7 linked regions of the Canis lupus familiaris genome follow. The protein of the gene in region 1 interacts with the protein of each later gene in a biochemical or structural test. Links are inferred from orthologs where the notes say so. Each region holds a gene or a part of one and is shown on either strand. Other genes may lie near its edges.

Region 1 (3,976 bases):
TCTGCTTTCAAACGTCTTAAAATCAGCTACCACATCTACCCAGTACCACCTCAAAAAATCCAAATGCTAGTAGACTTGCCTTCTGAAAACAGAAGTGTCTTACCATAGAGTGCTTTTAAGTTTTTTTTTTTTTTTTAAATCTTTAAAATATTTTAGGCCAACCCTCGGCCAGCACATTTTGTTCCCCTTTTCATTTTCAGTTTCCTTTTGAAAATCTCTTTACCGATGGAGGATTTTACCACTGGCACAGTTTTTCAACTGTAATTTGTATGTTGGCTTAGACTCTAAGGTAGAAGGTTTAAAATGAGGTAACTCAACTTTTGCTCAATCTTTGCCCTCAAACGGATCTTTGCTTCTTCCTGCTTCTTTTGGGCTCAGACCAATGCAACAAATCATGGTTGTAAGTTACATGTCTTCCTTTCATTGTGGTGCATACAGCCTTAAGAGGACTTCAAGAGGTTTTCTGTAATAATTTTAATACTTTTTAAAACCTCACCAATTTTTCATTGCTCCTTATACGTGCAGTAATGAATAAAACTGAATGCTTAATCAAAAAGAGAAAAGGGGAAGCTGACATTCATCCCGCAAATGTTTTTATTGGGCCCTTTCTATGAGGAGTGAACTCCATGTGTTCATGAAACTTAAAGCTGGTGGGAAGGCACAGTTAAGTAAGTGCTTGCCACAAAATTTCTGACTGAGGAGAAATAGAGGAGACCCTGGACCTGCTTACTTGTCTTTTCAGGAGGCTTGGAAAGGATTGTCAGTACCAAAGAGCTAGAAGACACTTGCAAATGAGCACGTCAGCTCAGATAATCCAGTAATTCTTTTTAGTGAAAGCATGGTAGAGATGGTTGGCCCATAGTCCTTGACAATCCTTTGGCACTACTAGCCTCCTCTGACCACATACCGGCTTGCCTACAGAATGTGTGTAATGGATTCATGGACTTCAAAATATCAAGGGGCTGCGGACCAGAGAAATGTGTAGATCTCAGTCCTAGATGAACACCCAAAGGTCTGGGAACAGAAGCCCTTCATGAGTCTGAAACCACAAACAAGTTAAGACTGTCCATTCGCCATTCAATCTGTATGCCAGGGTGTACTGGGCACCTCTCAGACAGTTCTGGGCGTGAAGACGCAGCAGTGAGCCATGCTGGTGCCTAGGAATGGTCTCTGACCCCTGGAGCTCCAGGAGAGTGCCAGGCAATTAAAGAAGAGAGCAAATAGATGAAGAGGGACCATAATACCAGTGGAGACTGCAAAAGACAGCAAGGGTGGGGGGGGGGCGGATGTGAGAAAGAGGCTGGGCTTACAGGGGGTGGCTGGCAGTATGAGGAGTCAGGGGTCAGCATGTAGAGGCCATATGCTGAAGAGCCAGCTGGACCATGGTGGCTGGTGGGGTGGGGTGGGGTAGAGGGTGGCATGAGCAATGGCCAGGTGGTTGATGATGCCAGACTCCATATCAACTGAGGGGAAGGAGGTGTCCTGGGTTTCATGCCAATCACAAGGAGAAATTATGGCAGGGTTCTAAGCAGAGGATTGACACATTCTGATTTACCTATTAAAAAAAAACACACGCACAGACTCTCTGGCTGTCACATAAAGAATTGGAGAGGGGAGGATTGTAATCACGCAGGAAACAAATGCTGGTACCTTGGACTAAGGTGGAGACAATGAGAAAGAAAGGTTGGACTCAGCCAGACACATAGGTAAGCCCAACAGAACTTGCTGATGGTTCACAGAATTCAAGGGATGAGGGTATGGGATAGAGGAAAGGCGAACAAGTGAGCTGACTATGGGCTCATTCCCTGACCCCAAAACCTCCTTTAGGGACAAATCAGATGTGAGATTTTTGTTTTTAATTTTTTTTTTTTAATTCTTCAGGGACGGAAGCAAAGATAATTAGAGTCAAATCACAAAAAGCATTTCATGTTAATGTCGTCCCAAATGGCACCTCTTCTAGTTGTCCCTTTAATGTCTGGGTACTTTGTTACCAAGTTGAGGGGCCGGCACCCTCTAGAAAGAGTGTATTCACTGAGAGCCTTGCTGAAGCCTTCGCCACAGGCTGCTGTTTTCTCTGCCTCTCCGACCCCTGCTGATGTGTTCCGGGAGAAAGCTTCCAGGCCTCCAAACGGGCAGGGGCAGGTTGAGCGGGCCAGAGGTCCCCACGCTCTCCCTCGCCACCTCCCCCGGCCCCCCACCTAACCGGGCTCCCCTCTTGGCCCCTTCGCGGACCTGTCGCGTGTCTGCGGAGGAGGGTGGCGGAGACGGCGGATTCCCCCGCAGCGGCGGGAGCGCAGGAGCCCGGCCAGCCCCAGCCCCAGCCCCAGCCCCAGCCCCAGCCCCAGCCCCAGCCCGGCGGGAGGTGCGGGCGCTGCTCCCCGGCACACACGCACGCACACTCGCCCGCACGCTGCGCGCTCGCGCTCACACCCGGCTCACACCCGGCTCACACCCGGCCCGCGCCGGCCCGAAGCAAGGAGCCTTCTCCAGGGGCGGAGGAGACCGTGGTCGCCCGGCCGCGGCTCGGCCTCACTGGTGCTTCTCGCGCCTTCTCCCGGCCGCGGCCCGCGCGGGGTTTCGGGGTGGCCCTCCGGGGCCCGCCGCCTCCCCCACTCCGCGGGGCCGGGGCCGGGGCCGGGGCCGGGGCCTGGGGTCCCCCGCGCCCTCGGTGCCCCCCTCCCCGGGCCACCTGGGCGGAGCACGCGGCCGTCCGGGCGCCGAGGGGGCTGCGGGGGTCCCGGGCGGGGCGGGGCGCGGCGCGGCGCGGGCGGACGGGCGCTTACCTGCGGCGGCGGCGGCGGCGGGGGCGGGCCGGGGCGGCGGGGCGTGGGCCGGGGCCGGGGCCGGGGCCGGGGCGCCGGGGACGCGGGGCTGGGCGCGCGGACCGAGGCCTGGCCGTCCCCTGCCCTCCGCCCCCTGCGCCTCCGGCCGCGCGCGCGGGGGCCGGGCCGGGCCCAGACGCACTTCCTCAATCCTGCGGCCCGCGGGCTGGCGGGGAGCGAGCGCGGGCGAGGGGGGGCTGGCGCGGCGCTGCCGGCGAGCTGCACGCGGGCGCCTCAGTTTCCCCAGCCGGAACGCGGAGGTGCCCCGACGCCGCGCCCCGGAGGCCCGTGAGCCCTCGCAGCGCGCGGACCCCGCCGGGTCTGGGGGCCCTGCCTTCTCCTGTCGGGGCGGGCGCAGCCGCAAGATTGGTCGGTTCTCTGCTCAACGCAGCGTCGTCCACCGTCCCCGGGCTCCGGAGCAAAACCCAAGGGCTAACCTCGGACTTGTATGGGTTAGGCAGGGCCTCGCAGTGACTGTACTCTGACCTACACCTCTGTGCAGGGCAGGATAGAAATAGGTATTTTCTAGCTTTAGAGTTTGGCAAACGGTGCCCCTTCCGTCACAAGAATTTAATTGGGGCTGAATATAGAAAGATGTCACTGTTGGGTGAATCATTTTAAATTCTGCGGGGAGTAGATAAAACATGCTGGAATGTTGGCCATTTATTATGTCTCGACCCGATATGTATGTTCATCACCCGACGGAGACCATTATCCGACGGCATCACAGAGACGCAGGGACGTGCAGCAGGCATCAGACCTGGCTCCGCGTGCCAACCACAGGAAGACAAGCCGGCCCAGTAAGAAGCAGATGGTTCCACAGCCCGGCAGGACCCGCAGCCTAGGCTAGACCTCTCCTGCGCTGCGACTGGAAGGCTCCTGGGACTTTAGCGCAAGTCAGAGACTCGCCACCACCCTCACTGCCATTTCACAAACGCCAGGCAGACGCAGGGCCCCCGCACGACCTCAAGGACACTCTGAGCAGTGGCCCCTTGGCAAGGGCACCACGGGGCAGCTTCGCTTTGCTCCCAAGAGGCTGCGCCTTTAGCTCGCCGGCCACGGAACGCCCTTTGCAAAAGGGTGGGTGCGGTTTTGCAATCCTGTCCTCAATATTTTGGTCCTAATTCCAGTATTCAAAAAGCAGCAATGTGATT
Region 2 (3,500 bases), on another chromosome or scaffold:
CACATGGGGGCTGGGGGAAAGGCCTGGCATTAACTGAGTCAGCATTTCACCAGGGGAGTTAAAAAGGAAAGCACAACTACAGGCTTTCAATCCACCATTCCCTTTGCAGGACCATGTTTACATTTTCTCCATTAATATTTACCTAACAATATTTGATCTTTCTTTTCTTCGAATTCCTTGTTTTTATTTTATTATTATTTTTAATGGAACTACCCTAAACATATGAGAGGCATTCTCATGGCCTTTTTCATTACTAGAGTATGAGTAGAGTTGAATCTTCTCAACAAACTGGAACTTTTAATGTCCTCTTTATGATCCCAGAAGAGTCCCATTTTGAATACTTTCCATAAGTAACGCCTTATCCATAGGGCTACTGCAATAGTGAAATACTTACTTTGTTAAATGATCGAAAATCAGGTTTGAGAACATGTTACCAAATAAACCTACTTGCCTAGGTTTACTTGGCCGGCTATAAGTATCTGAGATAACCAATTCTGTGTAAATTGTAATAATATGTTGTAAATGGCCAAGTTCTGTAGTATAGCCAGACTTAGTATTTCTGGAAGGACAAATTCAGGGTAAGGGGAACAGGCCCATTTTTTCAGTATTAATAAGAGAAGCACTTCAAGGTGAAGGTTTAATGGAAGGAAACCTTACTCCTTCATTTTCCTTCATATGATTTTAAATAAATACTACTCATTTCCTCTCTTAATTCCATTATATTACTGAGCATTTGAAACTCGAAGAAAAAAATAATTTTTACAGTTCCCAATGTGTTTCATATGTCATTTTTTAAAATAGAGTCCAGTCCTCTATTTGGTTTAATGAAGATTATACATTAAGCTTTCAAAGATTAGTCTTTGCCAACTGATATAACCCCATGACGTCTTATTGGATCAGTGCCACTCTTTTTTAAGATTTATTTATTTGAGAGAGAGAGTGGGGGGGGGGGCAGGGCTCAGAGAGAGACTCTTTTTTAAGATTTATTTATTTGAGAGGGGGGGGGGGTGGGCAGGGCTCAGAGAGAGACTCCAGCAGACTCCACGCTGAGCACAGAGCGCAGTGCAGGGCTGGATGCTCAACCAACTGAGCCACCCAGGTGCCCCAGTGCCACTGATTTTAGTAGCAGTCATAGGCCGAGTATCCCTGTTGGCTCCCATTGGTGAAGTTTCTTTATGGGGTTAAGTAGCCTAGCCCTGTGCTGGCCAGCGTGGCAGTCACTGACTACATGTGGCTATTTAAACAAAAGTTTAACTCTGATAAAAAGTAAAAACAGTTCCGTACTGGCTAGCACAATTGACAAAGTGCTGTTGGAGAGCTCAGGTCTGGAGCAATGTATCCCAACTGATGGCTTCTACAGTGTTGGTATTCACTGGTGCTACCAGGACTCTGTCACCTTCCTTGAGGTTTGGCAAGCACAGTAGGCAGCCCAGGAGGGTTTGAAGTCATGACTCAAGAAATGTTTTGATCCAAATCTTGTCAAGCTTCACTGCGCCAGGTCACCCCTTTCTGCATTCTCCACTCATTTTCCACTGTCTTTGGAAGACTCCTGTGTCCCCAACAGGTCAGGAGAACATGGCCAGAGAGATTTTGAACTAACTACTATGTAAACTGTTTTTACATGAGAACTCATCTCCTATTTCAGTCAATTATAAGCATCTACTTACAGAAGTAAAACTAGCCGGGTGTCCCCTGCATTATTCCTGCTGGATTTCAGATGCCTGCTTACTCACTGTTTTTCTGAAGCTCTTCTAAGAATTCTTCTTTTCCTCACAGCTGAATCTGGTATCAAGTGTCACACTCTCCAAGTCTGCATCTGAGGCTTCTCCACAGAGCTTACCTCATACTCCAACGACCCCAACCGCCCCCATCACTCCCGTCACCCAAGGCCCCTCCGTCATCACCACCACCAGCATGCATACGGTGGGACCCATCCGCAGGCGGTACTCAGACAAATACAACGTGCCCATTTCTTCAGGTAGATACTCCCATTTTTGCCTTATGCAGAACTGTAATAGGCAATTCTTGTAGACCAGCCTCTTTTTAAAAATGATAATTAATAGGACAATGATTCTTATTTAGCAGATATTGCGCAGAACCAAGAATTTTATAAGAACGCAGAAGTTAGACCACCATTTACATATGCATCTTTAATTAGGCAGGTAAGTAAATAACACAGTATGTGAAATTATATCAAAAGGTATACGTGTACATGGATATATTGATGAAGTAGATTTAAAACCGTTTAGTATGCAAGCATGCTAAAACCTTTTCTATAAGGTTTTTTAAAACTGCAATATATAACATAATTGCTTTTGATTAAGTATTACAATACGATGTGATTATTAGGAAATTCATTTCACACAACAGTGAAAATGAGCCTGTTTAAAGATGGCAAGTCAATTATCACAAGCTACAGTAATCTCTGATCCCTAGAATTAATCTGAGCTCTAAATAATTACTGAGCTTTAATCAGCTAGTGAAATGTTTTGCATTTCTCTTTGATTCTGCTTTATGAATGACTAATAAATTAATATTTCTGTACGGAAACAGAAATAAAAACTCAAAACAATTAGATAATTCCATTTTGAATTTTGCTATTGAACTGTTAAATACAACCATTAATCTTAGATCATTTCGTGAAACCTTTCTTGGGCTCTAGCTCTGAATCATGCTTATTTTATACTTTCAAGAAACTATAATGACAATTCTGCTGATTTGGTCATAAATTATCTTCTTTTGTTACTTTTGCTTCTATAGGCCATTCTCGAATCTCCAGAAAAGCAGCTAACACTAAATGAAATCTATAACTGGTTCACACGAATGTTTGCTTACTTTCGACGCAATGCTGCCACGTGGAAGGTAAGCTTTCTCACAGGCCTGTTTAAAGCTTGGGTCTTGCCATTTAAGAGTTTGTTGTTGATAAAATGGAGGTATTGTAAGTTCAATGTGTGTTGTTTCTATACACTCAAGGAGTCAAATTTATGGGAGTATTTTATTAAGAAAATAGTACTATTGGGGTTAAAATGCTGGGATAGAAGACTCCCATTACATTGACATCAGATTTTGGATAGACCAGCCAGTGAAATCATTTCTGTCCAGTTAAAATACGTAGGGAAAAGGAACGCATGATACTGTCATCCCAATATGAAAGTTATCCTCTTATTTACACAGACCTCATGCTTATCGGTTGTTAGCCACCACCAGTATTTGCTGAGATGCATGGCTAACTTTTTTTAACTGGAGAAATAATCAGACAAACTGGACATAACTTTCATTAGTTGGATTAAAAAAATAAATAAATAAAAAACCTCCTTACCATAATTAGTAAAGGAAGTTGTGTGGTCTCAGGACTAGCCCTGTATTTGGGAGTTAGCACAGGAAAGCACAATATATTATTAAGTTTTTGGTTTTATTTTGGGTTTTTGTTTTTGGTTTTTTATGTTGCACTGTCTGTCAGAGATTCATAGATACTCTGGAAAAGAAAATTATCTAACTTC
Region 3 (4,141 bases), about 52 Mb from region 1:
GTGGCCTCCCCCATGATGTCCTGCTCCAAGCACCTGCATACTGACACACAGAAGCTGGAGAAGTTACGCGTGCCTGATACTGCTGCCAACTGAGGCACAGACCAAGAAGGAGTGGTACAGCCTTGGTGCTCAGCTCCCATCCTGGCTCCCGGGCAACACTCACTTGTGGAAGCTCCACCAACAGGTGCACTGCCACTTGCTTCTTTCACCATGACATCCTCAGGACACACTCTACTGGGGGACCTGCACCACCATGTGGGTGACACAAGATACCCCCAGCATATCGCTCACTGGCTCGCATGTCTGGCCAGCTATTGATGGCCCTTCCGTCAGCCACTGTCAGGATCACAGACCACGGGAAGCACCAGGGGCTGCGCCTGCCAAACAGTCAGAACTCCACCAATGTTGTGCTGGTTATCATCGCTATTTTGTACTAGGCGTCAGGCATGATGGGTAAGAGGCTGATGTTCAGGTGACCAAGGTGCAAACGTAGAGGACGCGGTTAGGAGAGCTAAGGGAGGGCAATTAGACGCAAGACTGAACCACCGCTGTGAATACCAGAACCAGCTGTCCACGATGCAGCCCCCCCCAGCAAAGACCTTGGTATTCTGTGCTCTGGGGTGTCTGGAGAAAAGATCCTCCCTGGGTGAGAGCAGTCACAGTAGTCCAGAGGAAGGATACTCAGAACAAGACCACCAAACCACAGGGCTGAGGGCTCAGGCCCACTTCCTGTGTGAAAAGAACTGTGTGCTATATGCTACCCTATCAGTGAGCGACAACTGCCCCACTGTCTTTTTAAATCAACTTTAAAAAATGTACTACACTGGGGATCCCTGGGTGGCGCAGCGGTTTAGCGCCTGCCTTTGGCTCAGGGCGCGATCCTGGAGCCCCGGGATCGAGTCCCAAGTCGGGCTCCTGGTGCATGGAGCCTGCTTCTCCCTCTGCCTATGTCTCTGCCTCTCTCTCTCTCTCTCTCTCTCTGTGACTATCGTAAATAAATAAAAAATCAAAAATAAATAAATAAATAAACAAAAATTAAAACGTACTACACTGTGTATCCCTATAGAGGATGTCCTGACAACCTATGATCCTGTTCCTTCACACCAATCCCAGTGGTTCCTGAAACCTCCAGCCCAGAGTCCTACCGCACAACTCTGCGACTGCCCGTCAACACCAAATGGCCCCTGTGCCCTCTCCAAGGCCAGCACGACAAGACAGGCAGTCTCTCTAAAAGCAGAGACCAGGAGGCAGAGGGGTGGAGGGCAAGGCAGCAGCTGGCCCGGAGTTAGTGTGCAGTCTGCCATCCCTGGCCCCAGAGAGAACACCAAGGACCCACATTAGGTTCATCAGAAGCCACTGACACCACACATGGCCCACAGTGTTCCAGCACACACACAACTCGTTACCCGACAATCACAGGACAGCCCTGAGGACTTGTTCCACCTTCTGAAGAGCTGCCCACACGCCACCTCATCCACACTGCTAGCAGGGTGGCCAGAGTCAAACAATCACTAGTGAGGTGGACTCCTGTCACGTGGCAAAACCCTCGTCTTGGCAGAGCGATCACCTGTCATCTGGACGGTAGGAAGCAAGCAAGAGCGCACAAAATCCAGAACTAGGAAACATTAAGAACGTATCCTAGGATCTGCTTAGACTGAGCATCTCTGACATTGGAATTACTTCCAAAAAACTTGGTTTTCCTTTTAAATGAAAGCTTAAAACCAATTTTCAAAGGATTGGGATGCTATCAGGATCCCACAACCCATTTCATGCTACCGATGAAAAATGATGCTTTTTCCCCTAAACCATCTGAAAGCAGAATCTGGTCCACCATAAACTCATCTGGGGGCAACACGTGACATGAACTGAGGGGGGTGGGGCTCTTTAAAGGCTTAATTACCCTACAGTAAAGACACTCGCTCACTGAATTGGGGACGTATGATTTATCTGGTTATTAAACCCCTTCCCAACTCCTGTAGGAATATCCCGGGATACACAGGGTGTTGCACTCTTGATCTTTCTGAAACCCGAAGAATTCTGAAGTCGTCAACGTCTTTTCCCGAGGGTTTTGGGTTCGGAGCCTTCCCCGCCGTTACAGGAGACAGCACGCGCTCCGACGGCCTCGCTTGCGGGGCTGCGGCTTTCCCTGAAAGGCTTCCTGTGGGTTTCCGACCGTTCCAGTTCAGTAAGAGGCCGCACCAGCCTGAAAGGCCACGAGGCTCCGGCCACGTCTGTAAAGAGGAAACCTCCGGCCCTAATCGCGCCGCAGGTATTTTTATCTCCCGGCCTGCCCAGAGCGCAAAGGGAGTGCGTTCTTTTGCACCACCGTGTGGGCCGGTCCCATTTCCTCGTTCCTCTTCCTGGTGAGCCTCCCGCTCCGCTCCACACGGCCCACCCGTCCTCCTGCCCTCCTGCCCTCCTGCCCGAGGCGGGCATCCTCCCCGCGGCCCGGCCCGCCCCGGCGCCCGGACTGCGCCGCCCTCCCGTCGCTGGGGCGTTGGGGCGTGCGTCTAACTCCAGGTTCCGGAGGGCAAAATCCACCTACTGTCCACCGTGAATCTCGTATTAAAAACCCGGCACAAGTGTTCGGTGTTGTCGGAGCACAGGCCCCGACGGCGGCGACGGCTGCAGCGCCCCGGGGCGGCCGACAGCATCCGGGCGTCAGCGGCCCCCGCCTCTGCGTACCGGATCGCACCCAAACCTGCGCTCTTCACCCCGGCCTTGGGGGAAACACGCATATGGGAACGCTGCAGCCGGACACCCCGCGGGCCTCCGGGCGCGGCCGCCGGGACGCTCGCCGGCCCGCGGCCCCACACGCGGCAGGAGCCCGAGGCCCGGGCTGGTCAGGCGGGCGCCCCCGCACCTTGCAAGGGAATCCCGAGGGGGCCGGCGGCGGCGCCAGGAGCGGGGGCGCGGGGCAGCGGGGCCGGCGTCACCCCGGGGCTCCCGGACGCCGCCGCGGACGCGCACTGGGCGGCGGGCGGCGGGCGGCGGGCGGGGGAGGCCGCGGGCCCGGCCCTGCGCCCCCCGCCCACCTCCCGGGAGCGCGGGACCCCCCCGCCCCGCCCCGCCCCCCCGCCCGCGCCTCACCCTCCGCCAGGACCCGCCGCACCCGCAGCCGCAGCTCGCCCAGCTCCACCGTCTGCCCCACGAAGTCGCTCTGGTCGCGGCCGGCGGCGCCGCCCAGGGAGCCCGGGCCCGCCAGGAAGTCCAGCGCAGACTGCAGCAGCGACATGGCTGCGGCCCGCGGCGGGCGCCCGAGCGGGGAGCCCGGGGCCAGCTGCGTCCCGGCGCGCTCAGCAACCGCCGGCCCGGAGCCGCACCATCTTCCGCCCCGACGCCCTGACGTAGGCCCGCGGGGGCGCGGCGCAGCCCGGAAGAGCGCCGGCGCCTTACTTCCGCCGCGCCGGGCCGGTGCGCGTGCGCCGGGAGGGTGCTCGAGCGCGGAGCCGGGGCCGCCCAGCGCGCCTGCGCCGGGAGGGTGCGCCTGCGCGGCGCCGGGGCCGCCGACTGCGCCTGCTCGGCGCCGCGGCTCCGGGGACGGCTTCCGGTCGTCGCGCTCCGGGCGGCCGCGGCAGGGAGCGGGCAGGCGGAGAGAGGCCTGGCTCCGGGTCGGCGCCCGCTGTCCCCCAGGCGGCCGTGCCCGCGGACGCTCCCCGTGCGGCTGCTCCGCGGCCGTGCGCCACGCCCCCGGCTCGGTGTGCGGGGCAGCGTGAGGGCTCGCGTGTCCCGGGAGCCGGAGAAACCGAGCACAGCGCGGGCTGCGGCCGCCGGAGGGGCGGATCCAGAGCCCCGACGCCGGGTGGCGCGATCAGCAGCCCTCGGGTAAGACGTTCCCCGCTGAGAACACGCGCTCCCCGGGGCCGCCTCTCGGCCCGGGCCGGGGGGCGGGGGAGCCGCGGCGTTCCAGCCCCGGGGACGGGGACGGGGACGGGGTGCAGCCGGTGTGTCCCCGTGTGCAGGGTCAGGGCGCGGGAACCAGTCCTGGAGGCACAGGTGTGTCCCCATGTGCAGGGTCAGGGCGCAGGAACCAGGCCGGGCTGGCACAGTGTGTCCCCGTGTGCAGGGTCAGGGCGCGGGAACCAGTCCTGGAGGCACAGGTGTGTCCCCGTGTGCAGGGTCAGGGCACAGGAACCAGGCC
Region 4 (4,076 bases), on another chromosome or scaffold:
ATTTCTGGGGAAGGGAATGAATCTGCCTGCCTAAGAATCTGAAATGGAACCTCCCCACAAATTCTCCCTCGGGGGCCACAGGCTCTTTCACGGAATTGCTTGGTTTAGGTTACAAGTACAACCACCCCTTGAATCAACCAAACAACAATTTTTCACGACTGGCTTTGGTCCCTACCTTCCAAGTGAAGGTCAAGATTTAAGATAGCAAGAACGAACCTGTACCCTAAAAAAGATCCAAACCCCCAAAAAAGGTGATTTGTCTTTAAAGTTGTCCAGTGCAATGAGATAGTTTGTATATCTGAGATGCGAGGTTGAGGGTCATAAAACCAGGGCTGACGCAATCTTTTTTTAGGCTCCGAAAAGAAGGCAGGTGAGTTTCTATTTGCACTTGCATTTTCTCCCTGGCTTTGTTATGGTGTCACATCAACATTCCGGGAGCTCCTTAGGCCTTTGGGGGGGGGAAAAGTGATTAAAACATACTTGAGGGACGCCAGTGTCCCCGAGGATCTTGTTCATAAGGGAGCAAAGGGGGGGAGTGGCGAGGCTTTAGGTGAAAAGCAACGACTTTAAAGGCTCGCGATGACTTCGTTTTTATAGGAAGGAGCGGCAGCAGGCACCCCGCGCCCGAGTCCCAGGCCAGGGAACACCCACTGCGCTCCAAGCCGAGGGAGGGAGTCTGAAAACCGAAACCCGCCCCGCGCACACCGACGACGCCCCGCAGGCGGCCAGGCCCGCCGGCCAGTCGCGGCCCCGCGCGGGAGGGGGGAGGGGAGAGGAGGGCGGGGAGGAGGGCGGGGAGGGGGAGGGGGAGGAGAGGGAGGGGAGAAGAGGGAGGGGAGGGGAAGAGGAGGAGGGAGGGGAGAAGAGAGAGGGGAGAAGAGGGAGGGGAGAAGAGGGAGGGGAGGGGAAGAGGAGGAGGGAGGGGAGAAGAGAGAGGGGAGGGAAGAGGAGGAGGGAGGGGAGAAGAGGGAAGGGAGGGGGAGGAGGAGGAGGGCGGGGAGGGGGAGGAGAGGGCGGGGAGGGGGAGGGGGAGGAGAGGGAGGGGGAAAAGAGGGAGGGGAGGGGGGAGGTGGGAGGGGAGGGGGGAGGAGGGAGGGGGGAAGAGGGAGGGGAGGGGGAGGAGGAGGAGGGAGGGGAGAAGAGGGAGGGGAGAAGAGGGAGGGGAGGGGGAGGAGGAGGAGGGAGGGGAGGGGGAGGAGGAGGAGGGAGGAGGGGCAGGGCGCCCCCCGAGGCCCCGCCCCGGCCCGCCCCGCCCCGCCCCGCCCCGCCCCGATTATAGCCGATGACTCAGGGCGGAGCTCCGCATCCAACCCGCTCGCCGCCAACTTCTCTGGATGGGACCAGAAGTTTCTAGCCGGCCAGTTGCTACCTCCCTTTATCTCCTTCCCGGTTGGCAGCGAGGAGGCTATTTCCAGACACTTCCACCCCTCTCGGGCCACGTCACCCCCTCCTTTAATTCATAAAGGTGCCCGGCGCCGGCTTCCCGGACACGTCGGCGGCGCGCACCGCTCTCGACCCCGCAGCGGCCGGCGAGCGCCTCGGCGTCTAGAGGCCCGGCCCCCCGCGACCCGGCCCCCGCGACCCGGCCCCCGCGACCCGGACCCCGCGACCCGGCCCCGGCCCCCGCGACCCGGACCCGACCCCGGCCCGGCCCCGGCCCGGCATGAGCGCTGCCGCCCACTCGCCCGTGGTGCAGATGGCGTCCGGCAACGGCGCCGGCGACCGCGACCCGCTGCCGCCCGGCTGGGAGATCAAGATCGACCCGCAGACCGGCTGGCCCTTCTTCGTGGACCACAACAGCCGCACCACGACGTGGAACGACCCGCGCGTGCCCCCCGAGGGCCCCAAGGTGAGCGGCGGCCCCCGACGGCGGGGTGCGGGCCCGGGCGCACCTGCCGGCCTGCTGCGCCCCGGCGAGCCCCGGCGAGCCCCGGCGAGCCCCGGCGGGGGGGACGCGGCCGAGCTCCTCCCAGGGCCGCCTCCGCTTCCCGGGGGCTCCGAGGGGCCGAGGGCGGCCCGCTGAGCTCCGGAGGCCCGGCCGCGGGGACTGAGGCCCCGGTTCCGCCGGGGCGGGGGTGGGGGCCTCGCAGGAGCTCTGCCTCCTGAAGCCCCTCTACTCGGTCGAGGGGCATCTTGACTTCAGTCGTCTCGGGCACAGAGTGACTCAGGGAGCCGATGTGACTACATCCCCCCCCCTCCCTTTTTTTGCATCTGCAGTTAAAATTCTATTACTCTTTGAAACGCTTTTCAATGAGAATAAATTCTGCTCCGATTTGTTGAAAACAAGATGTTCTTCTCCCAGGCAGTTTCTAAACTAAAAGATGGGAGACTGTCTCGTGGTTGAGTGGTTGACCATTGCCTTAGGACGTTGCCTCCCACTGGCAGGAGACAGAATGTTTTTTTGTTTGTTTTTGTTTTTGTTTTTTTTCCTAGTGGCATACATTCCCTTCCTTGTTATGGTATTAAAATACGTAAGATTTGTGGCTGATACACAAATAACTAATTCAGAAGTAATTCTGTGAATGCAGCAGACGTGTGCCTCACTTACGGATTTGCAAAGTTATGTGCTGAACCCTTAAGAGCATGAAAATTTGGAAATAGGAATTTGGAATCCGTCTGTTAACTTAAAAGGTTACAACCAACTGTGCTGCTCTTCTAATTTTCTATGAATTTGAACTTTTTCGGAATAAAAGGCGAGGCAAATAGACGCTTAAGGGAAGGGTAATGTTATGCTATCTGGGCAGAAGTTTTAAAAAGCCATGAAGAGTTAGTCATTTGTTTCGAAGATTTAAAAATTCACAAAATTAGAGGTGGTTTATAAATCATCATTTTACAAGAGATGCTTGTATCTTCCATTTTATTTCTATGCATTTTTAAGTTAAAAATATTGATGAAAGTTTGGTGCCCAACAGTAAGATGTTTGTTGAACATTCGGCAACTTACATTTATGAGAAATTAATTGTATGTTTTTATCTGAAAATTAGTCCAAGAGTATGTAAGTAGCCAGGATGGGCATAATTATATATACTTTTTTTTGTGTATCTGCTCAGCCCATTATTGGGTGAAATACTGCAGTCTGCATGGATGTAAATCTTACGTGTGGTGTAAAACTATCATTTTGAGGTCTCCTTCCTATGGAGACAGGGACAGTCAGAATCTGCCAGCACCCTTTGTTGTGAGTGAAGGTCAAGTTTGAACATAGCCACTGTAAGCGCAGCCTAAACCCAGATTGCCAACACTTTGTTTTTAGAATAAGACTCACCCAGCAAGTTGAGATCTTTGTGTACCCATCCAGTGGATTGGTTAGGCTGTGGTTTCATAAACCTTTTTAAAGGGTCAGAAAAAACCAGGTTGAGTTACTATGATTCTCGACAAATAGAGAAAACAGCCACTAAATCAGAAATCTGACACCAGAAAAGTGGACTTGAAAATCAAGTTAGAAATTTTGAAGTTGAAAGGCCCATGAAGATCTTTTATCTCAACCTCTTTCTTTTACCGAGAAAGAAACCGAGACAGACAGTTAAGTGTGTTTCCAGAGGTCACTCAGCCGGTACTCTAGCAAAAAGAACTGCACCAGAAGGTCCTGATAAGAGGCGGGGTATCTACTCAGAAGAAGGTAGAGGCGTCTTGAATTTTTGTGAAACTGCGAAGTGTGCAGGCTGGGATGTGCCCTCCCAGCCACCAAGAACTGGTTGGTTGCTGTCTGTGCTGTGATTACTTAGATGGTGATGACTGGATGTGGCAACTCAAGAAATGAGTTCTCTACCAGTTTAACTACTTGAGGTTTATCAGCAGGGCGCAAAACTCAAGGAGAGAACACACGTCCAGTTCATTGGCTCTTTGGGCTTCATTGCTTTCATACCTGTGCTCTGATACATGCAGAACCTCTGGGTGACTGATTCAGTTTCACTTGTGTGAATTACAACCTTCCTCCAGACCAAATAGGAAGGAAAATCCTTCAGTATTGTTTTATATTAGAAATTGGCTTCCTACTGTGTAATGAAAAAGGGCCCTGGAATGAAACAAAGGGCAGTTTTGGAGGAGCTGAGCTAAGTGGACCCTCTGAACATCCTTGT
Region 5 (3,500 bases), on another chromosome or scaffold:
CAGTTGTTTAACCATCTGACTCTTGATCTCCACTCAGGTCTTGATCTCCAGGACATGAGTTCAAGTGTCGTATTGGGATCCACACTGGGCATGGAGCCTATTTTATTTTTTTTTAATTAATTAATTTATTTTTAAGATTTTATTTATTTATTCATGAGAGAGACAGAGACACAGGCAGAGGGAGAAGCAGGCCCCCCACAGAGAGCCTGATGTGGGACTCGATCCTGGGTCTCCAGGATCTGGCCCTGGGCTGAAGGCGGCGCTAAACGGCTGAGCCACCCGGGCTGCCCTTTTTTTTTTTTTTTAAAGGTTTTATTTATTTATTCATGAGAGACACAGGCAGAGGGAGAAGCAGGCCCCCCGCAGGGAGCCCAACACAGGATTCGATCCTGTGTCTCCAGTATCACGCCCTGGGCTGAAGGCGGCGCTAAACCTCTGAGCCACCCGAGCTGCCTCCACAAGGAGCCTACTTAAAAAAAAAAATCCTCACGTTAATATTGTTTTAATTAACATTTCTTTATTGATGAGGATTTCAGACTTTGATAACCCGGAAGTAAGGGTAAAATAGAAGGCAAGCCATTTGACCAGAGTGGGGCTGGGGAAAAGATTTATAAATGTAGTTCTTGCTGTCACGTCTCTGGGGCTTTACAATCCATATTCCTGCCAATATCTAAAGCCTTTGTGAATTCTTAATGTCTGTAATAGGACACAGTGACATTTGTCACTTTAACTTGTCACAGCAAAAGATGGTTAGCAGGATTGGGGTACTTTTTTTTTTTTTTTAAGATTTGAGAGAGAGGATGCACACAAGTGGGGGGTGGAGGAGGGACAGAGAGTAGAGGGAGAAGCAGGCTCCCCTCTGAGCAGGGAGCCCAATGTGGGGCTGGATCCCAGGAACCTGGGGTCATAACCTGAGCCGAAGGCAGACAGTTAACCGACTAAGCCACCCACCCACCCCTCGGGTGCCTCTTTCATTACCAGACTTTCCTTGCTAGCCACCCCACTTATTAGCAGGGCCTCATGCATGGTGTGACTGGGTCTCATCCATCCAGGTTGGCAGTGGAATCCCTCTGACCGGCCCTCCTTTGCTGAAATCCACCAAGCCTTTGAAACAATGTTCCAGGAATCCAGCATATCAGATGGTAAAGTGCCCATTATTCCTGGGATTGCCTGCAGTAGAGTGAGAGGTTGGGATAGAAGGGAGAGCCGGGAAGGACTCCAGCCCTGGCCCTTTAGTTCACTTCCTGCTAGAAGAACCCAGGCCAGTGAGTCACCTGAGCAGAGGTGTTGAATGTGGAGTTGTCTTGCAGCCATGCACAATTCTAAAAAATACTGAGTGTGGTTTTCTCGGCCTGTTTCTCTTTTCTGTGACTGTGCACAGATGACCACTCTTATCTGAGGGGGAAAAAAAAGAATGCCAGCATATTAAACTGATACCTTTACTGATGGCTGTTGATTTTTGGTTTTGGTTTTGTTCTTAGAAGTGGAAAAGGAACTGGGGAAAAAAGGTGTACGAGGGGTTGCAAGTACTTTGCTGCAGGCCCCAGAGCTACCCACCAAGACAAGAACCTCCAGGAGAGCTGCAGAACATAAAGACCCCACTGATGTGCCTGAGACGCCCCACACCAAGGGCCCAGGAGAGACTGGTATGTCCCCCAGCCCCACCAGATACCCAAAGGAGGCTACACCCTCAGGCCAGTGTAAGCAGATGGGGAAGCGGTGAGTGCACCTGCACAGAAGGGCAGGCAAACTCCTTGTTAGTAATCCAGCTTTGAAAAAAGGAAGGTTCTCTCCCCACCACATCTGGCCTCTCCTTCTGGGAATCATCAGGAACCATTGGCTTCAGCGGTTAGTTTGGTCAGGTAGGCACAGGTGCTTATGAAACCGACTGAGAACAAACCCACCTTTTCATGTATTATTCACAACATTTGTGGCTGCTCTTGCAGGGCAGATAGAACAATAATAAATATTGAACCAAACGAAGAGCAGCTTGTTGTGAAAGCACTGATATGAAAAACTCACTGGAACTCAACGGAGCCAGGAAACGCCCGTGGCACAGAGCTGGTGTCCACATGTGGTCTCTGAAAGAAGAATCTCTTGGCCACTGTTCCCTAGATGAGTTGGGGAGGTGGGAGTGGTGCATGGGATTCCAAGGTGCTAGGAGGGGTAATCCCCGAAAACACTGACCTAGCTCCTCCTGTGTGCCATGGTCTCTTTGTTAGGCTGCTCTGAGGTATTGTTATTCTCTCCCCAGGACCCCGGAAATCTGGGTTCATGGAGGCTCCTCGGGGATGCTCTGATAGACCACAGATGAGTGGGTGGGAAGCCAGAATAATGAGATGTTTAGCCATCGCAGGATTACCAATTTTTTTTTTGTGTGTGCACCCATAATAGAAAAAAGTCACATGTGCAGACTATGTATACATACGTACTATTGCACAGACATGTGTATTATAAAACATACCAAAAATGTATACCTAGAAGATTTACATTAAGAAGTAAATCCAAATTATAGGGCTTCCTTTTATAGCCCCCTGGATCGTCTTGCTCACTCACTTTGTGGAGTCCATGGCATATAGTCTCCAGAAGCTCAGACCTTTGTCCTTCTGTTCGTTGTCATGATTTCAGGTAGTTGAGCAGTGGGGATGGGGAGAGGCCCCTGTGGGAACCTCAGGCTGATTAAAAGCCCAGTGATAAGCAATCATGTTCATTTATGCCCGTCAGTATTCATTTTGATACGTAATCTCATGGTGAGCCCAGAGTGTCAATTAGCTGTTCAGCGCTGAAATAGAGCCGTGCATAATTCATTAGAATTTCGCGTTCTTCAACTTTTTCTCCTGGATTAAAGTTTTGGAGGTCCTCAGCTTCCCCTGAGTCAGGTGGCCTGCATGCTGTCTGATGTTCTGATAGATGCCCCATTGTACCTCTGCTCCGGGTGTAGACATGCCCTAGGCTGCTCTGGGTGCTGATAGAAAACTACTCTCCTCACAGCTGCCCTCTGAGGGAGAAGTCTATCATTCACTAAGCCGGGAGCTTGGCAACACCAGAAAGATTTCTTAGGAGCTATTATTCATACATAAAGAATGCCCATTTAAAAATTTGTAAAGGTCACTCTTTCTTGTTTGCCAAGCATAATAGCCTATTGTCACTGTGGTGCACAACCCCTTCCCTTTGGACCTTACCTCCTAGGAATCTCAATTGGCAGGCCCGAAAGGCACAGGGCCTGACCCTTTGCTCAGCCCTGTGGTGGTTTTTACACTCCAGATAGTGGTATTGGAGGGCTCTGTGCTGTCAAGGAAGCCTCAGTACAGGGATGAGGGGCTGGGTTGCCCAGGCTTTCTGTGCTGCTGTCCTGTACCTTTCCTAGAAGTATTTTTTTTTTTAATTTTTTATTTATTTATGATAGTCACACAGAGAGAGAGAGAGAGGCAGAGACACAGGCAGAGGGAGAAGCAGGCTCCATGCACCAGGAGCCCGACGTGGGATTCGATCCCAGGTCT
Region 6 (4,139 bases), on another chromosome or scaffold:
TTTCTTTTTTTATTAACTATGGAAACTTTAAATAAATACAAGGAAGAAAATAAAATTGTCCAACTTGATAGAAAACAAATTTACCTATAGTTTCATCATGCTACCCTATGAATGTACCAACTTGATATTTGGGGCAAGAGGAGATTAATGTATTTGGTATCTTACTTTTCTTTACCATTTTCTGAGCATTTTTCTTTGTTATTAACAGTTTTCAAAAATATGTTTTTAATAGCTGCAAATACTATAGGCTATATATAATTTTAATGTTTTTATTATTTTTGACAAACTTTATGATTATAAATTAATGTACATAAATCTTTATTTGCATACTTGATTATATCCTCAGCAGAAGATGCATAAAGTGGAATCACTTAGTCTATATGCATGTGTATTTTATGATACTTGATGTATGTTTCAAAATAGACCTATACAAAGATTACATTTTCTTACTATTATTGTAGTATTGATACTATTATAACATTCTGAGACATTAAGTAGACTTAAAACATCCACCAAAACTGCACCTTGGTGCCATTTTAAATTATGTATATATCTATTTATTGGTGAGGTTGATTTTTTAAAATATATTTATTATGCATCCACCTTTCCTTAGTGGGAATTCTTTGTAACTTGCTCTTTCTCCTGTTTCCTCTTAAGCCATTAGTGTTTTTCTTTTGATATATGAGATATTTTCCATATGAAAGATATAGTTGTTGAAATTTTTCCAAATAGTCATTTATATTTATCCTTTCAATATTTTTGCACTTGAAAGTATTTTTATGCATTCGATCTTATTGATCTTTGGGTGCGGTGGTTGCTTCTGTTCCTCTTAAAAAAGCTTAAAAAAGCTCCTCTATCAGTAAAATATTTCATATGTTCTTCTAGTTTGTTTTTAAAAATAATTTTACTTTTTTATTTAGTCCTTTAATCTCTGCATATTTAATTTTGGTGCAATGAGGCTTAATTTGAGACTTTTCCAAATTGTTCATTTTCTCACGACCTTTTGTTAATAAAATAATCCTTGCTTTCCCCCCTAGGTCTGTGATACTTTCTTTTTCATTTGTTAAATTTACACACACACACACACACACACACACGCACGCACACTCACACGCACACGGGTCTGTTTCAGGGGCTGCATTGATCTGTTTGAAAGATTCTGGTTTTAAGATTGGTGGTAGTTGGTGGGGCTGAGGAGTGACGGTTCGGGTACTCTTTGCCCCGAATGTTACAAAATCACACTAATTCTTGGTATTGTCTTGATGGAACGGGAAGAGCAGCGGTGAGGAGGCCTTTAGGACCCAGGGGAAAGCCAGGCTGGGTATAGAAGGACCGAGTCTCCGGCGCACACGCCTCCTACCAAAATCACAGCCCCGTGGAGCCGGGGCTCTCATTCACAGCTTTCTAGAGAAATCTGAGCCCGAACCTGCCAGAATAGGGGATCTCACCCACTCAGCTCAGCAACGAGGACACCTGCAGAAACACATTCCTAAAGCAAGGCTGAGCGGCTGTGTGAAGGTATTTGTTGCCTCTTTTCTACCTTCTGTATTTGCAGCGCCTCCCCGCCTTTCCCCCCAGCTCGTGCGATGCCATGGCTGCGGCGATTCAGCACTCGGGTGCGCGGACAGCTCCCATCCGCAATCCCTCCGCTCTCCATCCCTCCGCACCCCACTTTCCACGCCTCCGCGGTCCATCCTCCTGCTCCCGGCGCCCGCTCAGCCTGCGCTCCCTCACACCATCAGCACCCCCATCTCTCCACCATCACCGTCATGCTCTCCACCATCACCAGCGCCGTGACTACAGTCCACACAACTGTGTCTTGTCACTTAGACAAAGCCCGAGGTCCGCAGGGTTGAGCAAAAGAACCCAAGTTTTCAGGCACAGGAAGGAAAGTTCAGGTGGACGACACCCTTGAAAACAAAGAGACGCCTGCTTGAGAGAAAGGGAAAGTGAAGCCAGGACACGGAGAGACCCAGGGCAGGGGGACAGATGGGGCACTTGCCAGACACCAGCAGTTAGCCAGCTGCCTTTCAGCAGATTAGGGGCTGTGTAGTTCAGGAAATTAACATGGCCTGGGGTGTAGCGTTATTCCGGTAAAAGAGATATGTAAGCTCAATCCATGTTTCTGGTTTTCCAATGGAGAATCACCAGGAAGCAGGGTGGGGGTGACTGATGACTCATATTCACCCACACATGCCAATTTTCCTTCCTAAGCGTTTATTACAGAAACTCTGGAATTAAGTTTTTTACTGAAATGTTTTGTAAAATGAAGAACCCAAAGATTAACTCTGTAGCCAGAGTAAAAATTAAAATATTGGTGATTGGTGACCTAACAAATGTGGCTCTCACTGGAAAGTGCTATTTGCTCAAATGTCTCTTCCTGTCTACTTATTTCAATTTTCCCAATCTTAAACCTCTCCTTGAAGGAGAGAGGATAGACCCCTTGCCCAAAAGGCCAAAGTAGTAATGATATTCAGAGCAGATGGCCTGTCTTTGTTCATCACTAGTCAAGGACTGACTCGGATTTGGAAAGCGAGATTTTTGTGTGCTTTCTCAGTAATCAGGCGATAACACCATTTTCCCATAATAGTAAAGGGTAATAGAGTGCAAAAATTGAAAAAGCATTTTATATAACTGTGTTCTGCGAGGCTCTGTTTTAGAGTGCCATCATTTTCTATCTTAGCTGAAGGGAAGTTGGAACATCTTTCAAATATCTTGAAGGTCCAAACCCAAGTCATAGCACCTCTTTAATTTATCCAGGATCATCTATTTTATAAGAGCTGACAAACATCAGAAAATAAGTACCTGAGCTTGTCATAAATAAAAATATTTCAATGAGTAACCATTTAATTAATCATTACTGAACAGCAAAGTGTTGGGTGGGTGGTGTGGGTTGCTTTTTTTTTTTCATAAAATTAACATCTTAATTAAAAATGAGATGAATCACATTTTCATAGAAGAATGGTGTCAGGTCACATGTAACAAGTTTAAACCAGAGCACAGAAAAGCCTCATTTAAAATTCACTCTTGTACATTTATTCTACTTCCTTAAAAAGAAAAAGAGTCAGTAAAGCAAGTTTTGTCTAAACTGGCTCACTAATTTTGTCAGAAATAAAAAAACAGTCATGAACAAGTAGCTCCTGAAAAAAGTTTTGAAGAAAAATTTACACCAAATACTCTTCTGGAATGAGTGATAGTTGCATTTTTTCAAAAGTTACTTACTGCTATTAATTACATAAACATTGGCATAATTCGATTTGCCTCTAAAATTCACTCACTTTTGAACTCAAACTGAGAAAACTAGTGAAAGTATCTAGTGAAATGGTTTTTAGAGAAGAAGAAAATTTGCTCATATGTACCATCCTTAGGTTGGTAATGTTCACAAGACCCCTCAAGTCCCAAAGAAACAAGATTCTTAATATTCCCTTATCTGCTTGCAAATAGTGGTTCATCCCAGATAATTTTTTAAAGTGTACATGTTGCCAGTTCTAGCTGCTTCAAACCAGAAACCCAGGCCAGGAATCCACTGTCTCCAATGCTGCCGTCTTCCTATGCTAAATACAATTTTCTGAGGTTGGGGAAAATTTCAAAACAATGCTGCTTTGGTGAGATTTACAGGCATCTGTCTCAGAAGTGATGACTTTCTTTGATGAAATATTATGATAGGCTTATTAATTTTTATAGAGTGCTACTATCCTGGCTTCTTCTTCTATTGTCTTTTCTATTAAGGGCTATTTTACTTTTTCCAAATTTTCATTAACATGACTTTCGCATTTTTATAATGGATTTAAAGGTGAATCAAAAACATATTTTCCATCAGAGTGGTATTATACACTTTTGTAAACATGTTCCCAGAGGGGCATATTCCTTCAGAATCATGGAGTGTAAAACTGGTAAATTTTTATCTCCCAAAAGGAAGAATCAGGAACTCTTCAGAACTAGTGGTGTCTGCTCACTTTTGCAAGCTTTACCAAAGAGCACCTTATTAACCCTGCAAAGTCTATTCGTGACTTTACACACTTCCTCAAAGCAGAGTCATCCTTAGTTAATGGATTCAGACTTGGATTTTCTCTTCTTTCCCATTATATGGTGACTGAGACAGGAGGTAACACAGCAAAATGAGTATATAAAATATGAAG
Region 7 (4,209 bases), on another chromosome or scaffold:
AAATTAATATTGATACAATATTTATCATGCAATCTACAGATCTTATTCAAATTCTACCAGTTGTCCCACTAATATCCTTTTCAGGACTATTCTTTTAAATATTCTGTGGCCATGGTCTCAGGGAAATCATTCCCAGCTTTTCAAGATGTAGTGCATGCATAAAGAATTTGAGCGTCATTGATTTTCAGGAAAAAAGACACTGAAACTTCCGTTAGCTGTGCATGCAGACATCTGCCTTCCCTAAAAAAAAAAAAAAACCTCAAATGAAGGTTCACTCTATTGCCCAAAGCCTGTGTTATCAGAGAAGATTCTGGATTGTTTCATTTGGTGTTTCATTTGCCTGCTTCTTTTTCCTGATTCCTCATTAGGCCGAAAGAACTCATTTAAAAAATATCCTGGAAGATGTTTTCACCTTCTTCTCGCACATAATAATGAAATACCTTCCTATTTTGTTTTTAAAGCGAGAAAGGATGCACAGTGCTTATGGGATGTACTAGACTAGAGTCTACAAGCAGTAGACTCTAGTATTTCATTACCCACTCCTGTCCCTAGGCCTCTGTTATAAAGGAGTAATTAAAGGCCAAAGGGTGACTACCTAAATAAATGTCCATCAGAAAGGGGACTAGTTAAATAAATTCTAGCTAATACAGTCAATGTAATATAATGCAGCCATTCAAAAAAAAAAAGATAAAGCTGTGTATGTTTCAAAATAAATTAATGCTAAACAACAGAAAGTGGTTAAGTAGTATAGACTCTGCAGAGGATAATTAGGGAACCTGGGGAAATAGAGGTAGAAGGGAGACATTTATATTAAACCCTATGTTATGTGTTCAGAGGGAGAGAAAGACAGAGAATCACAAATAGTACATAGGTAGGTAGGTAGGTAGGTAGACACAGAATAATGGGTAGGTAGACAGATTTAAAACTAAAAATGTGAAGGAACAGCAGGCTTCATATTTTCCAGCTGCATCTTTTGCTTTTAAAGCCCTTATTTCTTTTGCCACGTCCCCCCACCATGTAGTCCTCTTCAGTTAGCAGGAGTCTTATCCTCCGCTGGGCAGTAAAGACACAAAACAGACTTAGCCCTAGACACATTCTCAACAAAACCGCATACCATACACAACCTCAAACACACGTTTTCAGGTTTGGAGGTGGGATGGACCAAGATGACCAAGCTTGGGCAATCTAAGAGGGACCTGCGTCTCTCCTCTCGCGTCACATTTGCACTCTCTCCTCACCCTTTCATTCCTACGCCCGCCTTACTCCCCAGCCCCGCTCCAGACCCCAAGCACCCAGGACACTGAACTGGCGTAAATTTCCTTCTACTTGCGCCGAGGCCCGCGGGGGGGTGGGGGTGGGGGTGGGGGTCGTGACGTCAGTGCTGAGCGAGGGGGCGCCGCCTCCTGGGTGGGTTCCCACCCCTCCTGGCCCTGCGGGCCCGGCTCGGCTTGCCCTTTAAAAGAGCGGGTCCTGCGCCAACCGCGCCACACCGCGGGGACCTGGACACACAGCTGCTTTCCCGGAGCATCTTTATCTTGCCTTCTGCCCGCATCTCACTCACAGGTCCAGCCGCCATCCTCTTCGTGCAGATTCGGGCAAGCGGAGCCATGCAGCCTGCAGTGTTTCTCTGCCTCCTGGGAGCTGCAGTGGTGGCCGGTGAGTGGGCTCCGCGGGCTGATCAGCACCGCGGACAGCGCTTGCCGCGTTCTCTCGGCCGCTGGGGACCGTAGGCTTGTAGATAGATACTGGGGGAGAGGAAGGGTTGGGTGGAAGATTTCTCCTTCTTGCTTGAGATGATTAATTCCCGAAACTCTCTGCTTCATCGTCTGACTTGGAAAAAGCCAGAGGGCTTCCTAGCCCAACCAGAAGAGTCTCAGTTTTTTTCATATTTGAGTTTTTCTGTAGATAGAAACGTGCCTGTGCCTCCAAGGAAACCCCACATTTTGTGCTTACTTGTAAAATGTCACGCTCTCTGCCTTCTCTACCTGTCTAAAGAGATGCTCCCAAAACCTTAATATGTAACTGGAATTAAGTATCTGTTCGGTTTTTTTAAAGCCAGGGAACTACGGAGACACAGGAGTACTTGTATTAGTTGGCACCTGGGATATAATTTCCCTTATTATTATTATTTAAACATGAGGAGATGAAAGTAAGTCTCGTATGTATTTAAGATATCATATCTTTTTCTTAACATATTCATCTATGTGTGTGTGTTCATGTATATGTATGTACAAGTTTAATGTCATTTTGGGGGGTATTTTATAGTTCCATTTCTGAGAAGAGGTAATCTCATACCCAAATCCATCCATTTTTAAGTTATTAATGGAAATTGCAGTAGATATTTTGACTTTTGTACTTCAAGAAAATAACAAGGATAAAATAACCACAAAGATATCCTTGAAGAAGTAAAAAAAAATCTTTTTAGTCAATTGGGAGAAAGAAATTTTAAGTAGTAGATATTTGACAGTATCTCTTTATGTATGGAAGATTGTAGGACTAATCTTTCAAACTACTCTGAATCTTGAAGAAATTATCTCTGGAGATTTGAAAAAATGTGTGTGTGTGTGTGTGTGTGTGTGTGTGCATTGAAGTAAAATCACTAGACCACTGAGAAGTATGTATGCTATCACCAGATTAAACTGGAGATTTTCGGTGGCTGTTTTAATAACCTCATAGGATATTGTTCTTATCTGAGATTGAGACTCCTAACTGGAACTGAAGTATTGCCATCCATGAATATGAAGCTTTCATTGACAGCAATTGCTAGATTCCCAAATGTAAAGACACAAAATGAAAGCCAGTGGTAATTTATTTTCTTGCAAGCCACATACATTCAGAAATTTCTAACATTCTTGTAACTTATAAATTGCCTATAAGTGTTCTTAAAGAAAACTAAATGAATATTTAGAGTCCTTTCCGGTCAAAAATATTTTCAGAAAGAAATCACTTAAAATGCTACAGCTATACATTGTGCTTTAGACTGCAAGACAGTGTCATTTGTGAGACTTACTTAATATAGTGGCAGAACATTTAGAGATCCTTTATGCAAGAGAATATTTTAAGAAGGGCTCATATTTTAATATCGGCTAAAATAGATATTATATTCTTTAAAAAACTATTGAACTGTAATTCACACACCATAAAACTTTTAAAGTGCATAATTTAGATTCACAGATTCTGTAATCACTATCAAATGTCAGAAGTTTTTCATTAGCCCAGAAAGAAACACCTATGCCCATTAGCAGTCATTCCCCATTTCTGTCTTCACAAATGCCTGGAAATGAAACATGGTAGCCGTCAAGCAAAGTTTATTATCTAGCAAAATCACAAGACTGAAGAAAACCTCAGGAAACCATCTGGCTCATTTCCTACCCTGAAGAGCTTCTGAAGGGAAATCCATACCTTTCTATAATAGCTACTGGGCACTCTAAAAATTTAATATGAGTGAAGTAGTTATGTGACACCCATATTGTACAGGGTAAAGTAGTTTCTGCCCAGATGAGGTTGCTTAATTTTTTAAATTATAGCTATATTTTTATTCTGGAATCAAACCTTAGTTTGATAGTCTTGTGGTATATAATACTTCAGAAATTATTTTCAGGTTTATCATACAATATAATTTGAAGATTTTCTACCGCCTGACTATTTCACTTTTAGAATCCTTGGGTTTTCTTTGGTGCCTCCTGAATCTTACTTTATACAAAAATAAGTTAAACTACTTTTGGGGATTTAATGTGTCTTTGGCTAGTACTTTGCTGTCACAGATTCAGTTGGAAGAAATACAGAACTTAAATGTCTCACTGAGATGCATAATGCACTTTTATAAGGAGACCTTAGTTCCTTTCCATCAAAAACAGGTCTGAAAAAATCTCAGTCAGAGAAACAGGACTGTCCTGCAATAACAAACATGAGCTATAAATTATTTAGAGCGATAAAGAAAAATATTTCTGTCTGCCCAAATCTGATGACTATTAATACTTTGGCAATGTTAGTAGTTAATAAAAACACTGATTTCACATTTAAAAAAATTTGTTCAATTATTTTTTAAGGATTTTATTTATTTATTCATGAGAGATACACAGAGAGAGGCAGAGACAGGCAGAGGGAGAAGCAGGCCTTTCACAGGGAGCGCAATGCAGGACTCGATCCCCAAACGGGGGATCAGGGCCTGAACCAAAGGCAGACTCTCAACCGCTGAGCCACCTAGGT

The links.
Region 2: the proteins of LRRK1 (region 1) and FOXP1 form a complex in vitro, tested with the Homo sapiens proteins (2 studies listed by BioGRID and IntAct, with this or other methods). The link is inferred for Canis lupus familiaris from reciprocal best matches to the Homo sapiens genes LRRK1 and FOXP1.
Region 3: the proteins of LRRK1 (region 1) and GAK form a complex in vitro, tested with the Homo sapiens proteins (2 studies listed by BioGRID and IntAct, with this or other methods). The link is inferred for Canis lupus familiaris from reciprocal best matches to the Homo sapiens genes LRRK1 and GAK.
Region 4: the proteins of LRRK1 (region 1) and BAG3 form a complex in vitro, tested with the Homo sapiens proteins (2 studies listed by BioGRID and IntAct, with this or other methods). The link is inferred for Canis lupus familiaris from reciprocal best matches to the Homo sapiens genes LRRK1 and BAG3.
Region 5: the proteins of LRRK1 (region 1) and ABL1 form a complex in vitro, tested with the Homo sapiens proteins (2 studies listed by BioGRID and IntAct, with this or other methods). The link is inferred for Canis lupus familiaris from reciprocal best matches to the Homo sapiens genes LRRK1 and ABL1.
Region 6: the proteins of LRRK1 (region 1) and CLVS1 form a complex in vitro, tested with the Homo sapiens proteins (2 studies listed by BioGRID and IntAct, with this or other methods). The link is inferred for Canis lupus familiaris from reciprocal best matches to the Homo sapiens genes LRRK1 and CLVS1.
Region 7: the proteins of LRRK1 (region 1) and CHGB form a complex in vitro, tested with the Homo sapiens proteins (2 studies listed by BioGRID and IntAct, with this or other methods). The link is inferred for Canis lupus familiaris from reciprocal best matches to the Homo sapiens genes LRRK1 and CHGB.

Annotation. Positions count from the first base shown.
Region 1 is NC_049224.1:40,487,969-40,491,944, forward strand, and holds the start of LRRK1 (leucine-rich repeat serine/threonine-protein kinase 1), read right to left. Parts: upstream 2,801-3,976; 5' UTR 2,784-2,800; intron 1-2,783.
Region 2 is NC_049241.1:21,134,844-21,138,343, forward strand, and holds part of FOXP1 (forkhead box protein P1), read left to right. Parts: intron 1-1,776; coding exon 1,777-1,978; intron 1,979-2,082; coding exon 2,083-2,162; intron 2,163-2,760; coding exon 2,761-2,862; intron 2,863-3,500. UniProt on the Homo sapiens protein: Transcriptional repressor. Can act with CTBP1 to synergistically repress transcription but CTPBP1 is not essential. Plays an important role in the specification and differentiation of lung epithelium.
Region 3 is NC_049224.1:92,182,215-92,186,355, reverse strand, and holds the start of GAK (cyclin-G-associated kinase), read right to left. Parts: upstream 2,801-4,141; 5' UTR 2,739-2,800; coding exon 2,546-2,738; exon of another isoform or gene 2,542-2,545; intron 2,364-2,541; exon of another isoform or gene 2,116-2,363; intron 228-2,115; exon of another isoform or gene 213-227; coding exon of another isoform or gene 164-212; intron 1-163. UniProt on the Homo sapiens protein: Associates with cyclin G and CDK5. Seems to act as an auxilin homolog that is involved in the uncoating of clathrin-coated vesicles by Hsc70 in non-neuronal cells. Expression oscillates slightly during the cell cycle, peaking at G1.
Region 4 is NC_049249.1:30,090,939-30,095,014, forward strand, and holds the start of BAG3 (BAG family molecular chaperone regulator 3), read left to right. Parts: upstream 1-1,276; 5' UTR 1,277-1,663; coding exon 1,664-1,849; intron 1,850-4,076. UniProt on the Homo sapiens protein: Co-chaperone and adapter protein that connects different classes of molecular chaperones including heat shock proteins 70 (HSP70s), e.g. HSPA1A/HSP70 or HSPA8/HSC70, and small heat shock proteins (sHSPs), e.g. HSPB8.
Region 5 is NC_049230.1:53,214,157-53,217,656, reverse strand, and holds part of ABL1 (tyrosine-protein kinase ABL1), read left to right. Parts: intron 1-1,052; coding exon 1,053-1,142; intron 1,143-1,481; coding exon 1,482-1,646; intron 1,647-3,500. UniProt on the Homo sapiens protein: Non-receptor tyrosine-protein kinase that plays a role in many key processes linked to cell growth and survival such as cytoskeleton remodeling in response to extracellular stimuli, cell motility and adhesion, receptor endocytosis, autophagy, DNA damage response and apoptosis.
Region 6 is NC_049250.1:12,131,746-12,135,884, forward strand, and holds the start of CLVS1 (clavesin-1), read left to right. Parts: upstream 1-1,339; 5' UTR 1,340-1,518; intron 1,519-4,139.
Region 7 is NC_049245.1:16,376,505-16,380,713, reverse strand, and holds the start of CHGB (secretogranin-1), read left to right. Parts: upstream 1-1,409; 5' UTR 1,410-1,607; coding exon 1,608-1,656; intron 1,657-4,209. UniProt on the Homo sapiens protein: Secretogranin-1 is a neuroendocrine secretory granule protein, which may be the precursor for other biologically active peptides.